Arabidopsis thaliana: one gene and its partners. The protein of the gene in region 3 interacts with the protein of the main gene of each other region in a pairwise test. Each region holds a gene or a part of one and is shown on either strand. Other genes may lie near its edges.

Region 1 (4,700 bases), on a different chromosome or scaffold from region 3:
AATAGTAATTAATTTATCTCACAAAAAAAACTTAAAACTATCACTCAATAACTTAGGGAGATTTCTCTGTATATTGTTTTAACTTTTAAGTAATAATTTGTAGACAAATAAACATGTAAGCAAGTGCAAGTTGTACGGCAGCAATATATAAAACGAAAGTTGGTACTAAAGACGAAATTATTGGAAAAAAAAATAATAAATGTTATTGCGAACAGCCTAGATCTTGACCACCGATAAAACAAGAGAAGAAAGTTGATTTTTGGGTTTGAATAAAGTGGTTTCAATTTTCATTAGGCCAAAAAGTAAAAACTTAATAGGCTCAAGTTTGTAAAATAAACTTCTAATTTGTGATGATCACTCTTGTGATGTGTTATGTGTTAAACTCCAAACGTTTTTGAATGATTGTATGTGTTGACTTTTAACAGTGTATGCGTTGACTAAGTGATGTACAGTAATGAGACGGGGAAAATCATACTAATATTTCCTTCCGACAACTTTATCTGTACTATGCATAGTACTTTTGAGACAACTTTATCTGAATTTTGTATAGTATACTTTTGGGTTGTGATATATTTTCTCGTTTGATTTTTCTTTTCAACTAAATAATATGCAAACCAAATCCGCTTTCGCCATAAGAAAACAACTAAAAGGTTAAATTTACCCGAGAGTGTATTAATGTTGAATAGCCATATAGGCTATAGTATGTATATGGCTGAAAATAGCTTATGCGATTTCTTGAAGAGAGAGAAAAGGTTAAATCCGAGAGTGTTTTACTCATCAATGTCATTGTCATTCTACATATACAACGTAACAAAGAAAAGCGAGAAAAACTTAATCCGACGAGTCACCAAGGTCAAAACACCTAACACCCACTTATACACTCATTACGTGGAAACATAAAAGATATACTACCAATCATCCTGCTCCTGCACTAACAATCATCTCGATGATTATGAGAGTAGGGTAACGAGGGAAACGAATTCAAGGGTAACTCTTCCCTTTGATCTCGTGTTGATGACGAAATGCTCCGGGTATTTTCTCAGCAGCATCAGCAAACCGTACCATGGTTTACCTTTTGCTTCAGGGATAGCCCAGTCTTCTTGTGATAGGTATCTTCTTACTCGACTGTGATGCCATACGTTTCCATACTCCTTTAATATCTGTCACAGACCAACCACTACCATGCATTAGCTGCAAAAATTGTTGATCATCAGCTTCACGATCTGCCTTTGATCTTCCCTCTCTCTTCTTCTCTGCACAAATGAAGCAGATACAATGTCGTGGTGTCACTATCATTCAATCTAAGTCTAACAAGGTTCAATCATCAACCACCACAGTAAAACTTATACTCAAAGTCTAGAACAAGCCTGAAATCTATTTAGTGACACAATGAAGTTAAGCTATCATGAGCAATTTGGTTTTACCTCCAGAGGCATATACTCCTTCATGTCCATCTCTCCATGTTTTCTTTCCACTGCCTCTGATATCCTCCTCTTCATCGTCGTCTTCATCATCGTACTCATACAACTCTCTACTCCGGACGCCATTCTTACCCGACCCGGAACCTGGACCCGAATGATAATTATGGTACGGAACAACAGTAGCCTTCCCTAAGACGTGGTGCCTGGGTCCCAATGGACCGCCTAGGATACTCCAAACCGGAAGCAGGAAGTAGAACTCCTTGTCACCAATCTGCAAAAGGTCCTGTGAATCGAGCTTGACGTTGGGGTTCCCAGGGAGATGGAGGACACCTTCAACGAAGCAGCCATTTTTGCCAAGTACCTCGAGAGAGAAGCGTCGTCTAGTGAAGTCATAGAAGATCCGAGCGTGGTTGCGAGAAATGTTCATCCCACCGCCGAGAGATGAGAGGTCGACGTCGACGGTCGATTTCTTAGAATTCCGGCCGAGAATAATGGAGTAAGACTGCATATAGTACTCGAAATCCTCACCTTGGAGCTTCGCAAATCCAACCTCTACATCGCTCCCGCTTCCAACGGCTGTAGCCATGCCGTGAAATTTCTCCGATTTTGAAGTCGGAGATCAAATTTGGGGTTACATAGTAATAGAATGTGTTTGGAAACCGGTTTAGATATGTTGTGGTTAAACCGTACAATGAAAAATATAAAGGCTTCTCAAGTAAATGACTATTATACCCATCATGTTTTCAGCCTCTCCACTGTCAATGTTACGGGCCTTACGGCGATCAAATCAAAACGGGCAGTTTGTTTCCACGGCTAACAAAAGAAACAGCTTTAGTTGGGCCTTATCTAAAAAGCATCAGCCCATTAACGTGAACCGGATCTTATGTACATAAACCCAGTAGTATGTAATATTCGGGGATAAGCATGACATTGACATGAATATGGATCATGTGATAACCGTAAGGCTTGAAATTATGATGATAAAATATGATGAAAAGTTCATAAGAATATCGTCACATTTTTGTCAAAGAAATAGCAAAGTCAAGAATGGTTTTCTTTTTCTAGAATCTTTGCTTTACATTTTGTTAAACATTTAATCAACCGAAAAAATCACAACGAGAAAAGAACATTTGCTATATTCCACAGTGTATTCGCAGAATCTTCCTTTGTTTTTCTTGTCAACAATTCAAATAGTCTCAATCCTCTTTCCACTTTCCAGGTGCAATTCATGCAAGAGTAAGGCTGGAACTTGTGATAGCCAAGCTATAATAAAGCAACTTCAACAAGCTATTCCACTATTCGAATAAAGACACGAGTCATCTATCTACTCAACATAATTCTTTACAGCCATTTGTCATCTAGCACGTGCCCATGAAGCCAGCCAAACATGAACCACGTCGACACACATCAGATGAGAATAACCGTTACGGCGTCATTTGCTGACCTGGACTGTCTAACCTATTGCACTGTCTCTCGAAGATGGTCGCCACATGTCAATCCCGGGGTCGTGTTTATGCTCGAGATTCGCGGAGTCAGATACGAACACAAGAATTCAAAACACCCAACGTGTCCTCGTCAAAGCCAGCAGGATCTCAGTGTACACGTGTTAACTGTTTCCATGCACGTGTTACACGTGGCGTCTCGGTACTTTTCGTCAAAATTTTACTTGATTTTTACAACCAATGGAAATAGAAACCAACAAAATAAATGGAAAGCGTTTATCGATAATCCGAAATTGTAGCGCTAATAAAGTTTCTTAACCTTTCTCTTAGTGAATTTTGAAACCGCCCATGTCCACTATCCTTATCGGACATGTGTCATGTTCCGAAGCCTTTACCATTCTCTTTTTAATTATCTCCGCCCCTTATAATATTCCTTTCTCATACAACAAAGTTGGCGAAGCTTCAAAACCCTTCAAGAGGAAAATTTTGCGGAAGACAAGAGACCATCTTTTTGACATTATATGTTTGTTGAATCTTTATCAATGGCAGAAAAGTTTGTAGAAGATGAGAATGTGGAGGTCGAGCTCGAGCTCGAGCTATGTCTTTCCCTGGGAGGTCCTTTCAAGAAAACGGAGAAATCTAAAACATTTGGACAATCTAACGCCGTCGGATTCGAGAAGGATAACGGCGTTAATCTTGACGGCAGAACGACGAATGTGACGAGGATAAAGGAAACACGGAAGAAGCGGGAGGCGAAGCAGCAGCAGAGAAGCGGAGAAGAAGGAGAGTGCAAGAGGATCAGAACAGAATATAACGGAGTTAGTAACGGCGATGATATGGATTTGAGCTCTATCAACATGTGTAACGGTTACGGGTCGGGTCGACTCAAGGAAAGCAGTAAAGACGTTACGATTGGGTCACCCATTTGCACCTCCTCCTCCGTATCCGATCCTAGCAGCTCTTCTCGCCAAGAAGGTATATAACAACCTTCTTTTAAAAATAAACTAAAATTGGTTGGTATATGTATATAGTTTTTTTTTAGTATATAATTCGATGTGTTGATTCTGTTAAAGAATCACGAAAATTATGCTATTTGCATGTAGATGATTTTGAATTATGGTTAATGTTCAGGTGGAAGTGGCGACATTGGGGCACAATCTGGCCAAACCAAACAGGTTAGATCTCCGGTTAACAACATTCTGACCGGTACAGAGCAAACCGTGCATAACACAGACGGTTCAAAAGACGCGGAGACCCAAGAATGGTCCAACTCTTCTGTAACCAAAGAGAGTGGGAAGCCGCCAAAACCGCATACCAACAGTAACGGTAACGGCAGTTTGCTTCCGTTTGCTCAGATGCCTTGCGTGACTAGCACCGGTAACGGTCCCGAGGGCAAAACCGTAAATGGTTTTCTATACCGTTACTCAAAATCAGAGATCAGTATAATCTGCGTCTGCCATGGAACGTCTTTCTCGCCGGCTGAGTTCATCGTTCACGCCGGTGGGACTAATGTGTCGCATCCGTTGAGGCATATAACCGTTGTTCCCTCAACTTTGTGAACTACAAATTTACATATTTTGTTACTCTTTTTGTCTCGTTTTTGTGTATATAAGTTTCACCGATGGACGTTTTGAGTTCGAAGGGACTCTCCATCCATGATTTTCTTAGAGTTTTGTTTTTCCTTGACATTTTTCAACTAATTTTACACTTAATTTGTTGCATTGTCTCTCTTATTAACGTATCAGTAAAAGTGAAGAATTCGTGTAGTTGTATATATATTTGTTTATTTATGCAATTTCATATGGTTTGAATTCGTCAACAAATATTCTCTAGTAAT
Region 2 (6,018 bases), on a different chromosome or scaffold from region 3:
ATTTTCTATTTGTAGGTTTAATTAAAGAATCTTGTTTATCTTATAATCCAGTTTCTTGTGTGGAATTGAAATGAATTTGTTTGAGAATCTTATTTCTCTTGTGTGTGTGTTTTTTTTGGCAGGGAAAGATGGTGATCTATCCCAGAAGTTCTGGAGGTAAATAATTCTTTATTGTAAGCTTTGATTCTAGGATCAATAAAAAGATAATTACACTTACTTGTTCTTATCATCTACGCATACTCAGTTTATAAATCAATATGTTTCGTCTTAAAAGACTTATTTAATTTGGTATTTCCTTGAGCCTAACTGTGTTTTGTTCTTTGGTATATCATTATAGTACAAAGGACGAGGGACAAAAACCTTTCTCGTTCCAAATCGGTAAAGGTGCTGTGATCAAAGGTATAAACTTACTTACTCTGTTTTATGGTTAATCATATCATATCTCTGAACCTATTTGCCTCTTTTTTGGCGAGTGAACATCATATGATTCGATTGTTTAACTTTGCTTACAGGATGGGATGAAGGCGTTATCGGAATGCAAATTGGAGAGGTTGCTCGCTTGCGGGTATGTATACTCTGCTTCTCTCATCATGTTCCTCTTTGCCATCTATGCTTTTATGGCTCTCTGTTGAAGCACTTTTGTCTTTCATGATAGTTTGGGTGTTTCGTTATATGTTTAACATCTTTGGCTTGCGATCTTATCTGCTTCTGCAGTGCTCATCGGATTACGCATATGGCGCTGGTGGATTTCCGGCATGGGGGATCCAGCCAAACTCTGTTCTCGACTTTGAAATCGAAGTACTGAGCGTGCAGTAATGATCTCCCCAGCTCCTAAACTGTGGGTAGATTATTAAACAACCCTTTATGTTTATTGCTTCTGGGATCTTTATGCAACAAAACTTTGTGATGTCATTGCTCTTCTAAAACTCTTGGACAACGTTTTTATCTAAATAAAAGAAAAGACCCGTCTCGTGTTTCAGTTGGAATGTTTGTACTATATTATGATATTATTCCCGTTTTTTTATTTTGATTAAAATGGTTTTGTTTATTCAATCAAAATGCCAATAAAAAGCACAAAAGAATCAAACTAAAACTTCAATCTTAATGACATATCAGACCCAAAGCAAATGGTCTCAACCATAATGAAATTTGAATTGACCACTTCTAATTCAAAACACAGTATAAATTACTGTTCTTAATATCAAATCAAAGGAAGAAAAAAGACTAAAGTTAAAAACTTTTTCAGACAAGATACATAAGTTAACAAAAGAAAGGAAGAAAAAAGAGAGAGACGCGAGAGAAGTCGTGCGGGTAATTAAGCACTTAAAATTCCCGTGCAATTCTTTAATCATCACTTATGCTTCTTTTTTCTTTTTCTTTTCTCCATTTTCATTTTCATTCTTTTTACTTTTCTTTTTCTTTTCACCCACATTCCCCAATCACATAAGTCCTTTTATGAATAATAACTTTTAACATAAATGAAAGTCTACATAATATTTTTAAAAATAAAACAAAAGTATTGAGCTAATTTTGGCGTTGTATAAGCTAGATAGATGCTAAATTGTCAATTTAAATTAAACAATTAAAAAGAGTGGTTAGCTTTTATTCTTTTCCGTCACAATGGGTGTTTGAAACACACACAACACCGCACCTGAACAAATGTACTATTAAAATATAATTAAGGATGAAAAAAAGCTTGAGCACACTTTCACTAACTTAGCTTTCAATAAAATTAAAGAGGGATTATAACCTGAAATAGTATTTATTTAGAAAATAATTAAGGATATAATAAAGCTCGACCACACTTTCACTAACTTAGCTTTTAAAATAAATAAGAGAAAACGTATGAACTTTTACTTTAACGAATTAAGTATATATTAAAAAATTATATTGGTTAGAAAAATATTATTTAATGATAAAGTATAACCTGAAATTATGGACCGTGAGACTTTGTCATCATATATACCATAATTACGTATATACACGTTCGGCCCCCTTGTCCCATTTCTTTCAAGCAAAGCACAAATATAAACATTGCCACCGTTTTTAATTACTAGATTAATTTCCAAGTTACACATATTTTTCCTCTAAATAATTAAAAATTCAAATTGTACAACTTAAATTATGTTACCTTTTGCGTATCTTAGTTTTTTTCTTTTAAAAAAATATAGAATGAAAATTAATTTCGATATATAGAACAAACAAAAAACCGAAAAAATTGAGAATGTGAATTGGTAAAATAAAGTAATGAAAAGGGCAAAAGCGTCATAAAATCTTTTTATAAAGCCTTGTTACTCTTGTTGCCACTCACCTCTTTAGAAATATTTCGTAAAAAAAAATTCTCCGTTTAGACATTATTGTTCGTTGGTCACTTTCATCTCTCTTATCCCTTTGCTTTTCCATTGATTCAGCTCAAAAAAAAACAAAAAAGTCTCATCGTTTTCTCTGGATCTGACCGAAAGATCATTCCTTTCTAAGGTAATCAAAATCCAATTTTTCTCTCTTATAGTCTGTGTCACTGTTCTCTCTGTTTGTGTATCTGGAGACTGTGGTTAAAAACGGTTTGAGTCGTTTGTGAAATGGTAAAGTTCTGTAATTTATGTCTGAATCTAGCTTAGAACATTGTGATTTGTGTATATTCTGAGTTGTAATAGTAAAATGTAGCGTAATTTTGCTGGAATTGATGCTGTGAATACACCCACTTGCTAGACGTTTATAAATCTATGTCCTTTACTGTTTTTGATCTCTGGATTTAGCTCATTTTTGGTGCTGATGAGATTCTTCCTTCGACTTTTTGCACAGATACTAAAGTAGGTTTGAGTGATCAGAATCAATTAGAGTGTGTATAAGAGGAAGAGAAAGAGAAAACAGCATGTGTATTGCCGTATACCGTAAAGTTTTGAGCTTGAATCTGTATTGCCGTGTGATACTGTAGATTGTTTCACCTTTGAAGCAACACCTTCAAGAGTCAAATCCTTTTCTTTCTTATTCATCTTCCCTTCTTTTTCGGTATATTATAAACACTTTTGAAAATGGGATCACAACATTTCTATGTGTACCATTGTGAACAAAGAATCAGCTAGACTAAAAGCTCACTCTCCTTCCACAAACAAAACTTTCCTCCTTTTGGTTTTGGTATCTGTCTACTTTCTTCAATCAAGATTTCCTCAAAGTTATGGTGTGCCAATCACCTGGTAAGACAAGATTTCGAGGATTGAAGTACGAGACCGGAAACGCTAACGAATCAACAATTGTAGTGAGAGTTATTGAATGCTATCAACCGATGGATAATTGCCAGGTTTGTACCAGACAATAATGCTCTTGTTATCATACTTTTAGCTTATATAGTTCTAGTCTTCTAACACTGTGGTTTTGTGATTATTCTTTGTGTTTCAGGCTGAGTACTTCAGACTTCTACTCAAACCAGTCACGTAGTTGGTTGGTGACATTTCGCTGCATTTTTCAATCTGTGATTGTTTTTCGTTCGTCTTTCTTTTACTATTTTCTCGAAAAGGACACAAGAAGTATTGCATTCACTCAGTTGAGCAACTTAACAATCGGTATGCTCTTTTCCCTCTAATTACGCTTGTGATATTACTGACTTTATCTTTCTTGAGCTGATTTTTGCCTCTGTTTTGTCCTGCAGTGTTGTACTTTTTGAAGTTCCCTTGAGCTAAACTGCTAAGAGCATGCCTCTGGATAAGAGGCAACGGGATTTGCCTCTGGGCTTAAGTCCTCAAGCTTGCTTCAAGGATATAGTAGGTCGGTCTGTCCTTCCTAGAATTCCTCTCCCTGAGCTTGGGAAACTATATGCAGCTAAGCTTCAGGCTCGCTGTTTGCAGCCACCACCATTCCAGTCTTTGCTGTGCAGTCATGATAAGGAGTCTTATGGAAAAAGATTCTCACGGTCTGACATGCGGTCTTGGTGCGCTGCTGCTACTACTACTACTACTCCACTTGGAGCATTAGAGTCTTCTCAGAAAAGACTTTTGATATTCGATCAGTCAGGAGACCAGACTCGTCTATTACAATGTCCATTTCCTCTACGGTTTCCATCTCATGCGGCTGCAGAACCAGTGAAACTCTCTGAGTTACAAGGTATAGAGAAAGCTTTCAAAGAAGATGGTGAAGAGTTTCACAAGAGTGATGGAACAGAGTCAGAAATGCATGAAGACACTGAGGAGATCAATGCATTGCTATATTCAGATGATGATTATGATGATGATTGCGAGAGTGATGATGAAGTAATGAGCACTGGTCACTCTCCTTATCCAAATGAAGGAGTTTGCAACAAAAGGGAATTAGAAGAAATCGATGGTCCTTGTAAAAGGCAGAAACTACTGGATAAGGTCAACAACATCAGCGACTTATCATCACTTGTGGGCACTGAGAGCTCCACACAACTCAATGGATCTTCCTTTCTTAAGGACAAAAAGCTCCCTGAATCAAAAACCATATCGACCAAAGAGGACACTGGTTCTGGTCTGAGCAACGAGCAGTCGAAGAAAGACAAGATCCGCACAGCTCTGAAAATACTCGAGAGCGTAGTCCCTGGTGCAAAAGGAAACGAAGCGCTCTTACTTCTGGACGAAGCAATTGATTACCTAAAGTTGCTGAAACGAGACTTAATCTCCACAGAGGTTAAGAACCAAAGCTCCACCACTCACAAGTCACCAATCTTGTTGCTTAAAGAGACAACATGGGGAACAAGAAATCTGCAGACAGATAAGGCGTGAAAGATTCTGACGAGTTAAAACGTGTGAAGTGGGTTTTTGGGTACGTATCCTCTGCACCAGCTTTTTAGCTGTATATAGTGGACTACTTTTAAGTATTATATATGCTACTGCAAATTTCAAAAAGTTAAAGAAGAAAAGAGGTCACTTTCTTCTTCTCTCTGTGTGGAATGAAAAGCCAAAGTCGTCATGGTCATTGATGGACAATGATTATCTTTTTTGGCTGAGTGTGGATGGTGAAATCAAAAGGCAAATATTCAAAGTCTCATCTCAAGCTCGCGTGATCTATGAATCTCCCCTAAGGTAATAAAATATCTCTGACCCACACACACTCTTTTGTCCATATGATGACTAGATGGGTCCATGATTTTTATGAAATATTGATGTCATGTTCATGTAATTAATTTGAGTGTCTGTAATAATGCAAACTATTCCTTTGTCTTTTGCTTCAACCCACATGCTACTGGTATTGTTGTGTCTCTATTGTTGTATTGTTAAATGGTTTTGTAATAAACAAATGGCGTTTTTTGGTTTGTGATAAAAATCGAATCGTTTATGTCACTTATTCCATATTAGAAACCAATAAACATTACAAATTAGGAACAAACAAAAGCTTTTTCTTTTCAAAGAATCAAAATCAAGAAGATACAAAACCATCACTATCACTTCATGAAATTGAGTTCCTCCATCGTCTTGGTTTCCTGGGGGGTGGATGATCAACACCAGCTTGTTCTCCTCCAGAGGATATGTCATGGCTCTCCTGTCCACTCATCTTAGTCAGTTTACTTAGCTTCTTCCAACCGCTGGTCCAAGCCGAAGAAGATGGCGTGTTCTTCACTTTCCCCGTCTTCTCAAACTGTCGTTGCATCACTTCCATCTCGTTCTGAAGCTCGACGTACTTGGTCTTCACCGTCTCTAACTCGAACTTCAACGTGTTAATATCCTTCTTGGCTGCAGCCCATCCTTCCTGCATTCAAAGTAGAGGAATTAGAAAAAAGGAATTTGTGTGAATTTTGATGAGTGTTTTCTCTTACTTGCCTGAAACGATTGTGGTGTTGCTTCGATCAATGTCTTGCGATTTGGGATCATAGGCTGATACGTACCCATGGCTTCTCCTAAAGTGGTTGACTCCTTGAGTGATGTGTTGGCTAAAGCATTGCTGATCTTGACTTGCTCCGAGAAGAGAACTTGAACCACCACTCTCAATGGCAACCTCTCGTTCTGAGCCGCGTGCATACATGCGTCCATTGATAGTTTTTGACAATCCATCACTCGGCATAGCCGT
Region 3 (7,246 bases):
CAGGATAGCCTTCACTGTATTTGTTAGTCATGACAGACCCAACAGCTTGCATCACCGACACAGATGTGAAGTTCTCAGATGGAATAAGTTCAAGTCCCTATAATAACACAAGCGTTACAAACATCAGCCTAACTTATAATAATCAATCAAGGAACAAGATTTAAGAGATAGTAATCTCAGAGACAAACTAACCTTCCATTGTCTAGCTTTCTCATGCTCAATAATGTCAGCAATCTCAGGATCAACCTCCTCTAAAGGTGCGTTAAGCTGTTTTGGCCACTGAAACGAACGTTTACAAAGACATAAGTTTCATTAGATTCAGTCACACCAAAAATAGAACTCCATACATCAATTTGAAACAGACATAGAACTTCAACAATCAAAACCATTGCTTCAACCACAAGGAAAACTATAAACAAACAAGAGATACAAAAAGGCGCTTAAACTCACAGTGACACGAGATCTTTCCTTCTCATCAACAGCTTCACTGGGCAAAGAAGACTGCAACGGAACAAACAGAAATCAGAAAAAAAAAAAAAAAAAATCGAAAATTTCCAATCCGATTATAAAATTCGGAGATAAAAGGAAGAAACTTTAGGGTTGTTACCATGTAACATGAAGTGGATCGAATAAGAGGACGAATGGGTTTGTCAATTGAAGAAGAAAGCCTTCGAAGAGCCATGGCCATCGCCATTTTTCGCTAAACCTCTCTCTATCTCTGGTTTGTGAAACCCTAGAAACAGATTTGAAACATGAACGAGAGAGAAGAGAGAACAAAAATAACAAAATTGGGTTTATCTTGTTTGAGAGAATTGTGGCCTCTGCTTTTGGCTGAGCTTTTGGTGGTTGCAGCAAATTTTCGAATTTTTTCCCTCTTTTTTTATTTATATTTTCTTCTGATTTTTATTTTATATTTGTTGTTTCTTTGTCGTTATCTCTCAGGTCCCTGTCTACACCAACCTTTGTGAATTGTGATGATTTGGTGACGACGATGATTTGTTTCCCTTTAAGACAGAACCTTTATTGGTTTCTGGTCAGTGCAGTCAACGATAACCGATTCAGTTATCACACATCAATTTAATTTATATAGTTTCCAAACCGGTTAGTTTGGGGGAATAAGATTAACAGAATTATGGTGAATTTACAAAATAAAACCAACAAAACAAAAAACTTAACAGAAAATGTTTATTTAACATTTTAGAATTACCAAGTGCATGGTTATATATATTAAACAAATTATTGATCTAAGAATATTGATATTTGAGAGAGTTTTGAGGATAATAATTCATATGATTTTTCTCTATTAATTGACGAATCTATGGTTATAAACAAGTACAATATTAATACTCAAGATGAGTATAACAACACCGGATTTTAATTATATATGCTTTAATTATATTTAGGATTGAAAATATGACTATGTTAGAAGAACCATGCTGCTTATCGTACGTGGCTTGGTGTATAGAGGTTTCCAGTTCAAGAACCTTATTCAAACCAAGGCCTTTGGAGTGTTCTTCAACATCATGGTATCTTCCAACTTCAATCTGTGAAAGTTTTTAACGAGTTACATAAAATATATAAAATGCCTAAATGGTGCATGCATGTTTGTGAAACATCAAGATCAATTAAAAAAGTTTACCTCTCTGTTATTCGTTTGCTCTTGGTGGAGTGTCATAATCGGAATGTTCAGGCTGGCTTAGTTGCAGCCGAATCTGAGTGTGTGATTCATCATCCGCAACAGCTACTTCACGGTGTGTAAACCCGTTTGTGTTTGCCATATAAGCCTGAAAGTCGAAGCCATATCACTTCGAAGCTCTTACTCCAAAGAAAATGGAGTTTTTGTAAAACATGATTTGTTACCTTCTTGTAGAGCTCCACATTTTCTTGATGAATCCGTTGTACTTTCCTAGATAAATCGAGGTTTTCCTGATGAATAAGATTCCTCTGCACCACGATCAACAAAAATCCCAAAATTAGAATTGTAACTTTTGGTAGGGGATATTTGTGTGTGTCAGTGTGTGTATATATATATCTCATCATAGTGACCTTTTGGCTTAGTTCTTGGATTTCTTGAGTCAACAGTTGTTCCTGTGAATCCGGAAAAGCAATCGTTCTATTGATTTCCGTTGTGTTCTATAGTCAATCTTTTGAGTAATACACTCCAAAGCATATAATAGAAGGTAGAGTATATGTATTTATGTACCTTTCTCATACGAATTCCACGCAAACTTATCTCAATTTGATTCTCAAGACTGTTTAGCTCGTTAACACTTAAACCATTTAGCTGTTCTCCCATCATTTGCCTGCTTCATAGCAAACATACCGCAATCCATAACTACAAGTTTCTTCATTTCCTTTACATGCCTTCTATATTTTGATCAAAGACTAATTCTTAATACAAAATGTTATAAAAGTTCAAGGCGATACCGATGATTTTCTTGCAAAGCATGCAGTTCTTGTCTTAGAACAGCAGCTTCTCTCTGCCAAAACTGTAACACACAACACAAATAACTCATCAAACTTTGAACAGCTCAGTAAACCAAAATCTCATTTCAAAAATCAAACATCATGCTAAAGCATCAATCAATATATAATCACATATCTTTAGAGTTGTCGCTATATCTATATGTATACCTTGACTTCTGATGCGGGGTTCAATAGTTGTTGTTGCTCGATCTTGCTCTTGTTGTATCTATCAATAACCGACTTCATGCTATTCAAAATATTTAATATTAGTATACCTTGTTCATGGTATATAATTCACTCATATCATATCATCTCTTAGAGTAAATTACGTAAAAGATATTAATTTTCGATCGTGAAGTTTTTCCAAGTACTCCATTAAAAAGCTTTCATACGTAAAGAAAAAACTCATAGCCTAGAAATTTGTGCAATATAGACTTTCCTGCATTGGCAACATTATTTACACACGCTTATATATGTACACATACATACATTTCACATAATGTATATAATCTTGAACTCAGCAGTAATACGAATTTGTTACACAAACTAGATAAACTATATATAAAGTAAGTAGATGTTAGTTTCTTTTTTCAATAAGTAACAAAAACAAATGCTTAAATGTTATTTCTAGGGTGTAGATAAGCAAGAACTTTAAAGGAATCCAGTTCTAAGCTATAAACAAAATGACATAAATGTAATGCATTAGCATGGCACACTTTATTTTAAATCCAAGCAAACAATAACATGGTGTTAGTTAGTTTTAAGAATGGTATATAAACTTGACTAAATATGCTAAGTAATTTCATTTACCAAGAGGTTCGTAAACCCTATGATACATGAGAAATGTTATCAAAAGACAAACGTGAAGAATTAATAATGCTTAAGGTTGATGCTAATATAAAATTCCTCAAGGAAAATAGGGAAAAACAAAAATTCGCATTACCATACTCTTTTATTTGGTTGTTTTAATTGATAAATATGAAATTATATAAATTTTCAAAATATATAATCAAAATATTATATGATTTAGAATTACATGTTTATATATGTTTTCTAATAATTAGTTTTTTATCTCTATATTTTTTTTATATTAATCAAACTTTTAACAAAGAATAACTTACTCAGAAAATAGACAATTATAACGATTTTGCAGATATAAAGTTAAATATACAGAGTAATCTGATCGTTTAGTAATAATATATATGATTATATATAAATATCAAAAACATGTTTATGTTTACGAGTATAAATAGATCATTTTGTTAGTGGGTTAAACTAAATCAGCTTCCAGTTTATTGGATTTGAGAAATTAAGTCCTCTACATACCAATCTTCTAACTCGTGGTCTCCAATTATAATTCTTTTTTAGCTTTCCAATAGTGATGTTTGGGCATTCACACTTGTTTTCTCATCTATTTCTGAAACATATCTAAATTTGGAAAATGCAAACAATGAGCCTTAGTTAGTTATAAGTCAATGTCCATACACATAAACATATGTTAGGAAAGTACTTCAAAACATACTGATGATGGGTACATATAATCACCCAAATATGAAGCAAAGAAACTACTTCAAATTATTTTTTCAGCTTCAAAAATATTACTCTTCTTTAAAACTTCTACCTCATTTTTAATCTTTCTTTGTTGTAAGAAAACTGTTTGTCGGCTATACAAGACACATCTTATTGTACATACGGGAAAATTAATGTAACATGTTCTACGGACCGCCAGATGCGAAAAAATTCCACTATATTTGAATAGATCCCACAGCTACATATATCTCAGTGAATATCACCAAGCCTTCTAATAAACAAAACCGTAGCATAAAATTATATGCATACAGTGGTACACAACATCTCCGTAGATGTACATCCACAAAATCAAGAAGATATAAAGATTTCAGAATGAATAATTTTAAAAGAAGAACCTGGAGCTTGCAAAGTCATAGAGCTTTCCGGTGCTAGAGAAGATGATGAGACCGACCTCGGCATCACAGAGAATAGCTAGCTCTTTGGCTTTCTTGATAAGGCCCTTTCTTCGTTTGGAGAAAGTGACTTGTCTACTCGTTGAATCATCGATCCTTTGGATCACAATCTTCCCTCTTCCCATCAATTTTATCCTCTAATTGAATCTCCTCTGGTTCTTCTCTTTTTTAGGGTTTTTTTTTTTGTAGATCTTACCAAGCCCAAAAGGGAAGGGAATATGAAGATGAACGAATAAGGAGAAAGAGAAAGGTAGAAATAGAGAGAGAGGAAGGTTGAGCCAAGAGTCAACAATCTATTCGAGGAATAAACTAAGTATATATATGCATATGCACACACACACATACACACTCACCTCTCAGTTTGAGACATTTTTGGGTAGATTTAATACATAGAAAAGTACTAAATTTCTAGTCCAAAATTAGTATTTGTGTGTATGATTTTATCAAACCAATGAAATAGAGAGAAGTTCTTATAAAGTTCCTAGGTTAAGAGAATATATAGATATAGCTTAAATGTGTGTCATATATACAACTTTAATCACTGATTCTTTTTTATAGTTTGTTTATTACGGGAGATAGTGGAAACTTAATGGAATTGTTTAGATAAAAAGGAGTGAAATAATATTAAACTTAGTGTGAGTTAGGTAAATTTCCATTATCAATAATATTTCCTTTTTAACATGTCCGTACATTATTTATAATTTATTCTTAAGTCTTATTTCAAATGTCATGTGAAAATAGTGAATGGGCGCATCACAGGACTGTGTTTCTCTGACAAAACCCTCTTGCTTTATATGCTGCTTTACTTAATTTAATTAGTATCTTTTAGAGGTGATTAAAAGAAAATTAAAAATATTCTGGCCCTTTATTATGGTCATAGGAAAACTTATACTATATTAATTAGATCTGTCCAAAAGATATTTACCCAAAAAAGTAAGAGAATGGATTGAACAAAAACATACAGTATTAATCTAGTACAACATATATTAGTCCATATGGCTTTCGGTAGAAATACAAATGAATAAATTATTTTTGTGTCAATTAATAAATGATTTTAAACGATATCAAGTACACGTGTCAGACAGGGACTTGGAGTTGCGGAGATTCATCATATTAATTGTTTTGTCGTAAGTTTCCAAATATGGCAAGAAATTTAATATCAAATAACTATATAACGTCTGTTACTTTCGATGGCTTAATGCTTGATTTCTACTCAAAGCAACTCGCGTTCAATATCATAATGAAATGAGCTATACAAAATTTTCACTTATATATAGAATATTTTCACTCAGAAGGCCATATATATATAAACCGTAACTTATATTTCAAGCTTATGCATATTGCAAATATACAATCTAAAATGTAATATGCATTTGTGACAGGCACACGTGGGAGAAGCAGGAACAGCTCCTGAGAACACCAATTGATGGAAGTCTTCGCACGCTCCACCGCAGAATCCGTACACCTGATCCTTCATTACTAACTATTTTTGTGTGTTTATTTTAGTTTCTTTGAATGTCTAAACTTTAACTTTGACCAACCCTCAAACTTGCCATAAATCACCACCCCTAGCGCGAATGTATCCATCAATTGAATTTGATTTAAAAGTAGCAAATGTCCTTTAAACCGAACTAAACCAAGCTCAAACCCTAATAACCAAGTTCGATTTTATACCGTTGATGTATAAGATTTAGGTGGGCCCCAGATAGATAACATGATAATTAAAGATCTATTAAGACCACGTGGGCTGGACTGCTTCGAACCAATCACATCTCGAATCTCAAACTCAAATTCAGATTTGGCTCTTTTTCTATTAACAAAGAATCTTAAAGTTGCTTCCAACTTCCAAGTGACCAAATCCCCAATTATCGTCCTCTTAAGATAAAAGATTCAGTCTCATTCACGCCAGGTGTCAATCATCAGCGAATCATTTCGATTTTACCAATTATAATCATTATTATCTTTAGTTCGACGGGTTTATACCACTCTTTCTTTTACGTTTCAAGCCTATTGTCTACGTTTTCCATATTTTTCAAGTCTAAAACATAAACAATCTAGAATTATCACAATCTTTGTTTATTTTGGTTCTTAAAACCCCTTTAACAATATTTGTTTTGTGTAATTGTGTGTGTTTATCTTTGCTGTGTATATATATAAGACCTATTTCTTAAGAAATGTTTTGTAATGACTAAACCAAATATCTAACACATGTATAGAATCTGTAATCCATAAGAGCTAGTTACCAAAGAGTAATAGGTTTCACAGATGACCTATTTCTTTACCAAATTAAATTGCTTACTATAGAGTTTAAATAATACACCCATACTACTGACTATCTGTTGTTCAAGTAGCAGATTTATATTACAGACACCTATTGTTATAAATATAGAATATAGTTTTTCAGGTGATTCTTGGAACTTTACACCAACAAAGCATGTTAAGTATATAATTAATGCTATATTTTAGATTTAACTTTTCATCATGCGTTTATGTCCAATTAGTTTAGTCAAGAACAGAGATTATATTCCCATTTGAATACCGTAATGTTTCATTATTCTTCATAATTAGTCTCCATTATTCTTCATAAGTAGTCGTCTACCATTTGACAAAAAAATATGTTAAGTGAAAATGTATAATAGATATTGGTTCTATAAAGTATAGTTTTTTTTTTTCTGGTTGGTGCTATAGAATTCACGTGAGAGGGTAATCAGAGTGGTAGTGTGAATGATAATAAACCTTGTTTAGATTATTGATCAGACCAAGAAAAGGAGATAAGGTGGTGTCCCTTTTGATGTTTT

The links. Proteins that work in one complex are often made in the same cells at the same time.
Region 1: the proteins of AGL21 (region 3) and AT3G07260 interact in a two-hybrid assay, tested with the Arabidopsis thaliana proteins (one large-scale study listed by BioGRID).
Region 2: the proteins of AGL21 (region 3) and SAC51 interact in a two-hybrid assay, tested with the Arabidopsis thaliana proteins (one large-scale study listed by BioGRID).

Annotation. Positions count from the first base shown.
Region 1 is NC_003074.8:2,307,011-2,311,710, reverse strand, and holds AT3G07260 (SMAD/FHA domain-containing protein), read right to left. Parts: upstream 2,103-4,700; 5' UTR 2,008-2,102; coding exon 1,425-2,007; intron 1,254-1,424; coding exon 1,081-1,253; 3' UTR 728-1,080; downstream 1-727. Other genes in the region: AT3G07255 (nuclear transport factor 2/RNA recognition motif protein), read left to right, coding at 3,385-3,838, 3,995-4,422. UniProt on the Arabidopsis thaliana protein: May play a role in the control of plant organ development. Does not show transactivation activity in yeast.
Region 2 is NC_003076.8:25,729,608-25,735,625, reverse strand, and holds SAC51 (transcription factor SAC51), read left to right. Parts: upstream 1-2,312; 5' UTR 2,313-2,478; intron 2,479-2,802; 5' UTR 2,803-3,298; intron 3,299-3,396; 5' UTR 3,397-3,560; intron 3,561-3,646; 5' UTR 3,647-3,689; coding exon 3,690-4,736; 3' UTR 4,737-5,291; downstream 5,292-6,018. Other genes in the region: FKBP12 (FK506-binding protein 12), read left to right, coding at 123-156, 338-399, 513-565, 715-816; Phototropic-responsive NPH3 family protein, read right to left, coding at 5,401-5,700, 5,772-6,018.
Region 3 is NC_003075.7:17,834,049-17,841,294, forward strand, and holds AGL21 (AGAMOUS-like 21), read right to left. Parts: upstream 4,922-7,246; 5' UTR 4,574-4,921; coding exon 4,392-4,573; intron 3,537-4,391; exon of another isoform or gene 2,714-3,536; coding exon 2,635-2,713; intron 2,490-2,634; coding exon 2,428-2,489; intron 2,304-2,427; coding exon 2,204-2,303; intron 2,114-2,203; coding exon of another isoform or gene 2,089-2,113; coding exon 2,047-2,088; intron 1,945-2,046; coding exon 1,861-1,944; intron 1,785-1,860; coding exon 1,647-1,784; 3' UTR 1,640-1,646; intron 1,545-1,639; 3' UTR 1,169-1,544; downstream 1-1,168. Other genes in the region: SHM1 (serine transhydroxymethyltransferase 1), read right to left, coding at 1-97, 193-279, 451-501, 608-694. UniProt on the Arabidopsis thaliana protein: Probable transcription factor.